Danio rerio: one gene and its partner. Each later gene encodes a partner of the first gene's protein in a complex. Links are inferred from orthologs where the notes say so. Each region holds a gene or a part of one and is shown on either strand. Other genes may lie near its edges. The genes, in order: dgcr8 and erh.

Region 1 (4,398 bases):
TGAATGCCATTATAAACGTAAAGTTGTTTATTAATAATAAAGATAAAAGTTTCATAAAGTCATATGAAAACATTTGCATTTGCAGTGTTTATTGTGAAATGATATATAAGGATCTACATTAAACTGCAGTACATATACATTCTTAGTTTGATTTCTGTGTGAAACAGATTTGAATGTAACAGTATCTCCACATGTGCCCATATGCTTTCTGCAGTATAAACAAGACACAAATGAAAGGCAAACGTGAACTTTTTGAGAAACAGAGGAGGGTGACAGAATTTGATTACCCGTTTGCTGCCTCGTCTGATTAACCCTTGTGTATGTTCATAGCACAATACTTTCAAGAATATATACAAGTGCAGATGTGCTTGATTTATTTATTTTTTAAGTACCATTCATACAAGTAGATGTTGGGGCGTTGTAATTGCAAGTGTTAAATATTACAATAATTCACACACACATACAAATCAGCTTGCCTTGTATAATCTGCATTCAGATACTATTGGTGACTAATACACCCCTGCATATTTGTAACTTTTGGTAGACAAAATTATTGTATGACATTTTACATATACGATCAGTTTTGGGCAGCGATGCCCAAACTCAATCCTGAAGGGCCGGTGTCTTGCAGATTTTAGCTTCATCCACAATTAGACACACCGGAACCAACTAATCAAGCTTTTACCAGGTATTCTAAAAAGCTTCTGGCAAGAGCAAGTTGAAGCTAAATTCTACAGGACTTTGGCCCTCCAGAACTTAATTTGGGCAGCCCTGGTGTAAAGTACCTTATTGGACACTTTTAATGCTTCCAAACTGTTTGCTGTGTGTCTTAAGGTAGTTCAGTATGATGGGATTTACTTTCTATGTAGGCTACGGTTTGATTGGACGGAATTTTCTAATTCCCATAGATAGGAAAAAATAGAGTAGTGACTGCAGGTTGAAGGAAGTAGTGGAGTAAAACACACACAGCACTAATGTACTCAAGGGAAGGTACACATTGTTAAAACTATGTAGTAAATTACTAATCCTGAGAAAAAAAACTACTCAGAGTAATTTGAGTATTTGTAATCTGTTACTTTACACACTGTATACGACATATATTTTATATTTGAAATCCAAACACGAAATTGTATATCTTTTATACAGTGTATCACATAGGCTACATAATTTGCATATTAGATTTGAATAGGACATTAGTAAATCAACAGATTCATTGGAAAGATTCGACTCAACGACTCGTCAACAAAGTTTGGCATGTTTGAAAAACTTGTTACACGTGTATTCATGTTTTAACAACTACATAATGACATAAAATTACACTCGAGTGTGCTCTCACATTCACAAAATTCATTCTTACACACTTGATAAATGCAATTTTGTGAGTGTTGGGTAATGCACGGGTGTAGTATTTATTTCATTTCCCCAATAATCACACAAATAGTATCAAGACTTCCTAAATTGCAATTCAGCGACATCGGAAGCAAGTTTCTTCAGTAAATATGAATCAAGCCGATTGGGCCAATCACATGTGCGTGGGCGCCGGTTGAGAGGCGTGTTCAGAAAGATCTGATGCTGCTCAGCTCTGCAGTGAAGATGGCGGAGAGAAGACACGGCCATCTGAAGCCAATCAGCAGAAAATGCCTATGATTGCATGCTGGCTTCAGTAGACGCGTTGTCTAATTGGGTAAGTAAAAGAAAATCGTTTGCTCAAACATCAGTGATATTTTCTCCTGCCGACGTTAATCTTTATCGCGCATGCTTTGGTCGAAAAGGTTCGGTTGGCGTGTACGATTCATTCTTATACCGTATAAGGACTCACTAATCGAGTCTTCGACTGGTTTCTGCCGAACAAAATAAAAAGCTTGAACAAACCTGGTTTAATAGCCGAGCAATGTGACGTTAAATTGTAGTTTTTAATGTCGTGAGGAATTGCAGCCATTTTGTTTAGCTTCGCTTAGCCGACAATTTAGCAAGGGCCTTTGGGGCTTCAGCTTGTTATGATGCGTTTTAAATACAGTGTTTATTTTTTAGGCTGTCATGTAGCTACATCACACTACAGTATAGCAAATAAATACACAGTTAATATGAGGTAATGCCACTTCGTTATGCGTTGTGATGAGTTAAACGTTGAAAATGCAGAGTTTTGCACTCTTAATTTGCTCTTCCAATATAAAATTAGCATTTAAGACCTGGAAATGTTTTATTTTGTTTGTAATTAGAGCTAAAATGCACCATAAATGCATGGCTTGATTTTATTTTTAAACTAAATGCATCTTCCTCAGTGTTTCTGTGTTCTTTAAATTATCGTTTGCATTTACTTAATTTCAAAACCTAAAGAAACTATTCATTACAAGTCAGTTTTAATGTGCCATAAAACTTTTTCCCAATGTCTCTTGATTTTTCTTTTTCCTTTCTCTTTTTCAGTACTGACAGAAGATCTGGCCTCCTGGGATGGACAGTGCTTAGATATGGGAACCATTTAAGCTGAATGCATTGTGATTTCCAATAATTGAGACAGTAATTTCTAAAAAGCTGTCTACATTAATGAAAAGAACAATGTAGTCAGCTTAGCATATTCAACCATGTACATGACTATTACTAAATAGGAGTTTCAAGCTTTATAATGTATACATGCATGTGTTAGGGCTGCAATTGTTTTAGTTAAATCGGGCACATCTCTCCCCAATTGTGTTCTTGTATCAGTTTTAGCATAGCTATTTTTAAGAAATTAAATATGGATGTAAATGAGATTTTACCTCCCCTCCCATTGGAGCCACCTGACGCAGTATTGGCGGGGAATGATTACAGTAAAGCACCTCCACCACCTCCCCTGCAAACGTCCAGTGACGCAGAGGAAATGGACGTTAGCTCTGGTGGTGATGGACACCAACACACCCCAGCAGTGGACAGGGACGAACAGCTTCTCCTCAACAAACGCACATTGTCTGTTAGTAGCCGCCCATCAGATAGTACTGACCCCATGACTACTTGCCCTAGAACCGCTCGCCATGCTCCCCCTGTTACCAAGTTTTTACCTGATCTCAAACTCCTCAGAGACGTAAAGATCAGTGTCAGCTTTTCGGACAGCAGTAAGAGCAAAGACAGGAAGGTGTTGTACACTGGTTTTGGGCAGGTTAGCGATGAAGATCAGAGCCTAGAGAGCATAAACGGAGAATTGCATGATTCTGTAATGATGAGAAGCGTGCCTGGCAGTTCAGCTATGAGCACTGGCTTCATGGGTTTAGCTAGAACTAGAGAAGAGCTGGAGGCAGAGCAGGAGAACAAGGTTGAGTTCGCTGTGCTGGATGACCTGGAAGATTTCAGCGAGAACTTTCTGGAAGATGGAGAGCCAAGTGCTTTCAGGTCTCAGATGATAGTTCAGCAGGAGCAAGTGCACGAGGAGGACCTGAGTTACTCCTATGAGGTAAAATGCATGGTTTGTTACGATTATAATTTCCTCTTTGTTAAAGGGATGGTTCATCCAGCAATTAGAATTTACTCTGCCTTGAGTTTTATCCAAACCTTTAAGTTTCTTAATACTGTTGAACAGTAAAGGTGGTATTTTGAGTACTGAAAACCTGTAGCCTTTGATTCCTTAATAGGATAAACAACTACGTTGGAAGTCTGTGGTTACAGGTTTCCAGCTTTCTTTAAAATATCTTGTTTTGTTTACCAGAAGAAACTCAAAGGTTTGAAATAAACGTAAATGATCACAGATTTGTCTTCGGGATGAACTATGCCTTTAAATTGAAATAATGCAGACTAATTAAAGATGTTCATCATATAAAACATGTACTGAATTGTGCGTCATATGCAGATATGTGTTTTTCATTCTTCAACAAGGATCCTGGAGTGTAACAAGGTGGCTCATTGAAGAACATTTGAATCACAGCTCATAAAGTGGGCTTGATTCAAATCTGCTTCTTGGTGTATATCTAGTTGATGTTTTAGTGGGTGCTGGTTACTAACCAATTTGCTCTTCCAGGAGGACTTTGACAATGATGTAGATGCCCTGTTGGAGGAAGGCATGCCCATGCCCAAGAAGAGGCGTGTGGCTGAAGACAAATATGCTGGAGACAGTGATCACCATTCAGACGGGGAGGCCGGAGTTCAGCCTATGATGACCAAAATTAAGACCATTCTTAAGAGTGAGCCTCAGAAACCCTTTGTTAACTTGATTCAGAAGTCATCAAGCATTCTTTCTAGCTACACTGTTAAAATTTTTAGCAAGTTTGCTTTATTGTCCCTTGACGTTTTGTAATTATTTTTGAGTTCTATTTATTGATATAGCATGTGGCCACAAGGCCACACAAAGTGCATTATAGAATAGATACAAACAAGCATGGACATAAGCAAAACTGCAATAGGCACATAAAGAGGGGCTTATAGGCCCAATCC
Region 2 (4,361 bases), on another chromosome or scaffold:
CCCAATATTACCCTCTAGCCCGATAAATAACCCAAGTCCCGAACTCCGAAGTTACAAAAATGTGATTTAAAATGCAAAATATTTTCACTCTATGCTTTTGACATAACTCAAAGGACATGCATTCAACAAAATCTGAACCAGTTGGCATCAATTCACTGTTCAGTTCAGCCACGTCTGTCCTGTGATGAAGCGTAGTTGGGGACTAGTTCAATAATTCCACCGTCTTTATTTTCCAGCCTGTTGGGCCTGACGCCTCAACAGCACATAGATCTTTTCTTTGATCCAGTCTTTGTTGTAAGGCTGGTAGGTTTGTGTGTCCGCTCTGTACCTGTTCAAATAATTAAAGACAATTGTACATGATTGACGAGCATGAGCATTTAATAGGCCCTGTTTACACCGATATGTTTTAGTTTTAAAACGGCAATTAACAACAAAAACTATCCACATCCACACTGGCCATTTGCCTAGAATTTCGCCAAGGAGGAGAGATAATAGTACAGTCTTTTTGAGATACAGTCATACAGTCTTTTTGAAAGCAACATTTTTTGTCATCCTTACTGCAAACTTATATGAGCGATAATATCATTAAATGTTGAGGATGGCCTCACTATATTTTCCAGCAGAAAAGGGGGTCTCAGGCAAAAAAGGTTGGAAACCTATGGGTCTACAGGCTCCGTTTTCTTATAAATATGCATACTGTGAAGATGACAGTAATACAAGTATGTAGCTATACGATGCCTGAACATTTTTGGTGTCTATTTAAATCCTTATATCATGTTTTCATTGATTTTTTAAGATAGTGAAGCAGCGTAGTCAGAGTGACATGAATGACTATATGAACGCTGTGATTGTTATAAAGTACACTGTTCCCATTGAAAATTTACCCGACGTGTCCTCAGGAGGTAGTTTTCCATATAAAACTTGCAAAGTCTGAACTTTCAAGGAAAGGATGCAAGACTGAACTTAATATTGCATTTAATATTGGGAAAAGGCCTGAATCCGATCCGTTTTGAGCCTCTATTTTTCAGCAGTATTTTAACACTTTAACTTCCCCACCAAGAACTTTTTCTTGGGATTGCATTTCTTAAATTCTAAAGTTAACACACTCGATGCATTTTTTCCCCATCACATCCCATAATTTTAAAAATATCAACCGCTACCAAGTGGATAATATGTTGGTTTATGGTAAAAGTACTAAGAATCAATACACATACTATAAAAATTCTAAAAACATGAAGTGTAAGACTAATTTATAACAATATGACTCATTTTAAAACAATTTAAATAAAACATTTTAAATACTGAATCATCTTTATTTTTTTAAGTATGCCATACAATATTTCTTATTATTAAATAATTCAAGATTTCTTTTTTTTGCTTTTTACAATAAAATCAAAACTAAGTGTAGTAGTGCAAGAGGATTATGTTTGTTAGATTTTTTGTAAAGCAACAATGCTGTTTGTGTAAACCTTAATTTAAAACAATCAAAATATGGTCAACCATTTGATAGAGCAGACAGTTAAAGGGTTAACACAAAAGCGACCTCTTCAGCATTTCCAAAACACTCCGCTTTCAATGATCTAAAACTCTGGGGTAATCTGAACGGAAGACGTCACTGTAGCAAAACTTATGCGTTTTAAAACTAAAACTTTTTAGTGTAATCGGGACCTTAGACATTAGGCTTTGTCAAGTGAAAAGTGTGATTACTTACACAAGACAGCTGAGATCGGCAAGATCATCAACAAAGTCGAATAACTGGCTTATGTCATATGTGATGGAGGGACTGTTGGGATTCATTCTCTTCAGATGCTCTTCATACATCTTACACACTCCTTTTGGTAAGAAGGAAAATGGTTAAACACGCATTAAAAGTAGTAGTGCAATATTCAGTGTACAATAAAGATAGTTCACCCCAAAAAAAATTTGTTTTCTCTTCACAGTTACAAAACCAGTTTGAGTTTCTTACTTTCTGAAGACATTTTAAAGAGAGGTGAAATCCTAAAGCCACTGACTTCCATAGTTTTTGTTTTTTCTACTATGGTCAATAGTTCAATTTTTGGGTGAACTATCCCTTTAAAGCATTATAATTGTTTATAACACACACAAAGAAAAGAATTATCCTACCTTCCATACATTCGTTGACAGACTCATAATCTGCATATGTTCTGCCTTCTGGTCTCTTGGTGGGCTGCACCAGCAGAATTGTGTGAGACTGAACGATAATAAAGAAAAAAACATTTTATTGTGTTTATATCATAAATCAAGTAAAAGTTAGAAACACTACATATCTAGACGACGAATTAAACAATTGCGTGGAGCCCCCTACTGACAGGAACACAGCTTTGGCTCCTGACAGTGAGATTAATCGTGCGTTCATTTCAAAAACATGACGTGTTGTTTAGTTATTCATGTTTGACGTATGAACTAAATACACTTTGGGAATATAACGTTAGCTGATATGGATGCTTTGACACAATACCCAGAAAACAGCAGCTGTTGTACTCGAACCCTCCCCCAAACTAAAACACTACATGTTCCTCACAAACACTGATATTACCAATACTGAAGCTGAACAGGAGTTTGTTCCGGTCGAACTTTCAACAAAGAACCTAACTTTGCATGTGTGGTATTTCGAGACACATGAAAGCTCGCTGTGTTGAGGATTATTCGACGTTCTCTCGTAACACACTGCTAGCCGCGCGCGTTCGTTCACTTTTATTTTTGTTGAATGTGTTGGAGCAGTCGGTGAAACGCGATTTTTCTGATATGGTGGCTGTCTAAGGATATATACGAGTAGAAAAAACATCGACAAAATACTTACCATATCTGGTCCTGATGTATAAAAGTGGCGTTGAACGCTGGGGTAACCACTGACGGCTATTCACTGTTAGCAGCGAAGGAAACAGCAGGAATGTTCAAGAAACGATCACACTTCCGGTGTAGGCGAAGCGTTGGCTTTTCAAGATAAAAGCTTTTTCACTGTTACGGAAATGGTATTTATTTTTGTCGTTAATGACATTACTTATAATTTTTACTTCATATTTTGTATTCATTATTTTGATGTAATATTCAAATGACTGCAAGTGAAAAAGAAGTCAGCCTATTTACTATTATTTATGGATAAACGATGTATATAAGACTTTGCAATACTGTTTACAAATATTTGTTTAAATTTTGTACACACACACGTACACACACACACACACACACACACACACACACACACACACACACACACACACACACACACACACACACACACACACACATAAATAAAAATTAAATATTAGAAATAGGCTTTACAATATTATTTACAAATATTTCTATATTTAAATTTTTATAATTTAATGATTTTATTTTATTTATCCTGTAATTTTAACCTACATCACAAATACATAGTATAGTTTTTATCATCAAAATGTTATATCTGTAACAATGGTTTACAAAATTATAAATTCTTATTGTCACACATTTGTACCTAATTTATATATATTTTTAATTTAATAATAAAAAAATAATAATAATTTTAGGGTCAGTATTATTAGCTTACTTGTGATATAGATGTGAATTATTAGCATTTTGTTTTTGATTGATTGCTTGTCTTGATAACTTGTCGAATGTAAAACTAATAAATAACTTTTGATAAGCCTTTAAATCGTAGTTTAAAAGTACTGTATGTTTTGACTCTTCTAAAGCATAAAAATACTATAATATGTTTGCAGATGTTTAGTAAACATGCCACATGAACATTCTTGTTTATCTGAAAAACAATGTTAAAGTCAGATATTCTGCTTTGTAAATGTAAGTTATGTGCCGGAACGTCTGTCTCTGTTTTGGTTATTTTAACCCACCTATTGCAACTTTAGATTATATTTTAGCACCCCGGGTTGCCTTGGTGAAAAACGGAGCAATTCATTCATTCATTCATTCATTCATTCATTCATTCATTCATTCATTCAGTAACTCATTCATTCATTCAGAAAGGCTCTCAAAGCATGGTTCCATGACCACAACGCTACCTCCGTGAGAAAGTAGCAGACTCTGGAATGAGACGCAGATTCAGTTCCACATGAGGTTATTAATTTGCAAATAATATAAATATTACGAGTGTAAACATTAGGTGAGCAGGTTACATTGTAACCGCATGCCCTAACAACATGCTACATGACAAGATTAGTAGTTATTAGCAATTTAGCTGTTTGCACCAGAAGAAACATGAAAGAAATTTAAATAAAGACATTTAGAGGCACAGAATATGTACTCACTCATGAAAAGGTAAGTTTTAAAAAATCTATTTAATACATATTAAACCTCTTTGACATTATTAAATGTAGATGCTGAATCACTCATTTGTGTTGTCT

The links.
Region 2: the proteins of dgcr8 (region 1) and erh are in contact, whole or in part, in a crystal structure (PDB 7CNC), measured with the Homo sapiens proteins. The link is inferred for Danio rerio from reciprocal best matches to the Homo sapiens genes DGCR8 and ERH. Residues at the interface, in NP_073557.3 of Homo sapiens: Lys107, Phe108, Ser109, Pro110, Asp111, Leu112, Leu114, Leu115; in NP_004441.1 of Homo sapiens: Val8, Pro10, Thr11, Thr18, Tyr19, Ala20, Glu27, Lys34, Met35, His39, Arg42, Met43, Phe60, Leu64.

The regions. Positions count from the first base shown.
Region 1 is NC_133180.1:25,176,434-25,180,831, forward strand, and holds the start of dgcr8 (microprocessor complex subunit DGCR8), read left to right. Parts: upstream 1-1,572; 5' UTR 1,573-1,684; intron 1,685-2,424; 5' UTR 2,425-2,734; coding exon 2,735-3,424; intron 3,425-3,985; coding exon 3,986-4,148; intron 4,149-4,398.
Region 2 is NC_133195.1:36,361,556-36,365,916, forward strand, and holds the start of erh (enhancer of rudimentary homolog), read right to left. Parts: upstream 2,956-4,361; 5' UTR 2,825-2,955; coding exon 2,822-2,824; intron 2,213-2,821; coding exon 2,125-2,212; intron 1,833-2,124; coding exon 1,712-1,832; intron 329-1,711; coding exon 226-328; 3' UTR 1-225. UniProt on the Homo sapiens protein: May have a role in the cell cycle.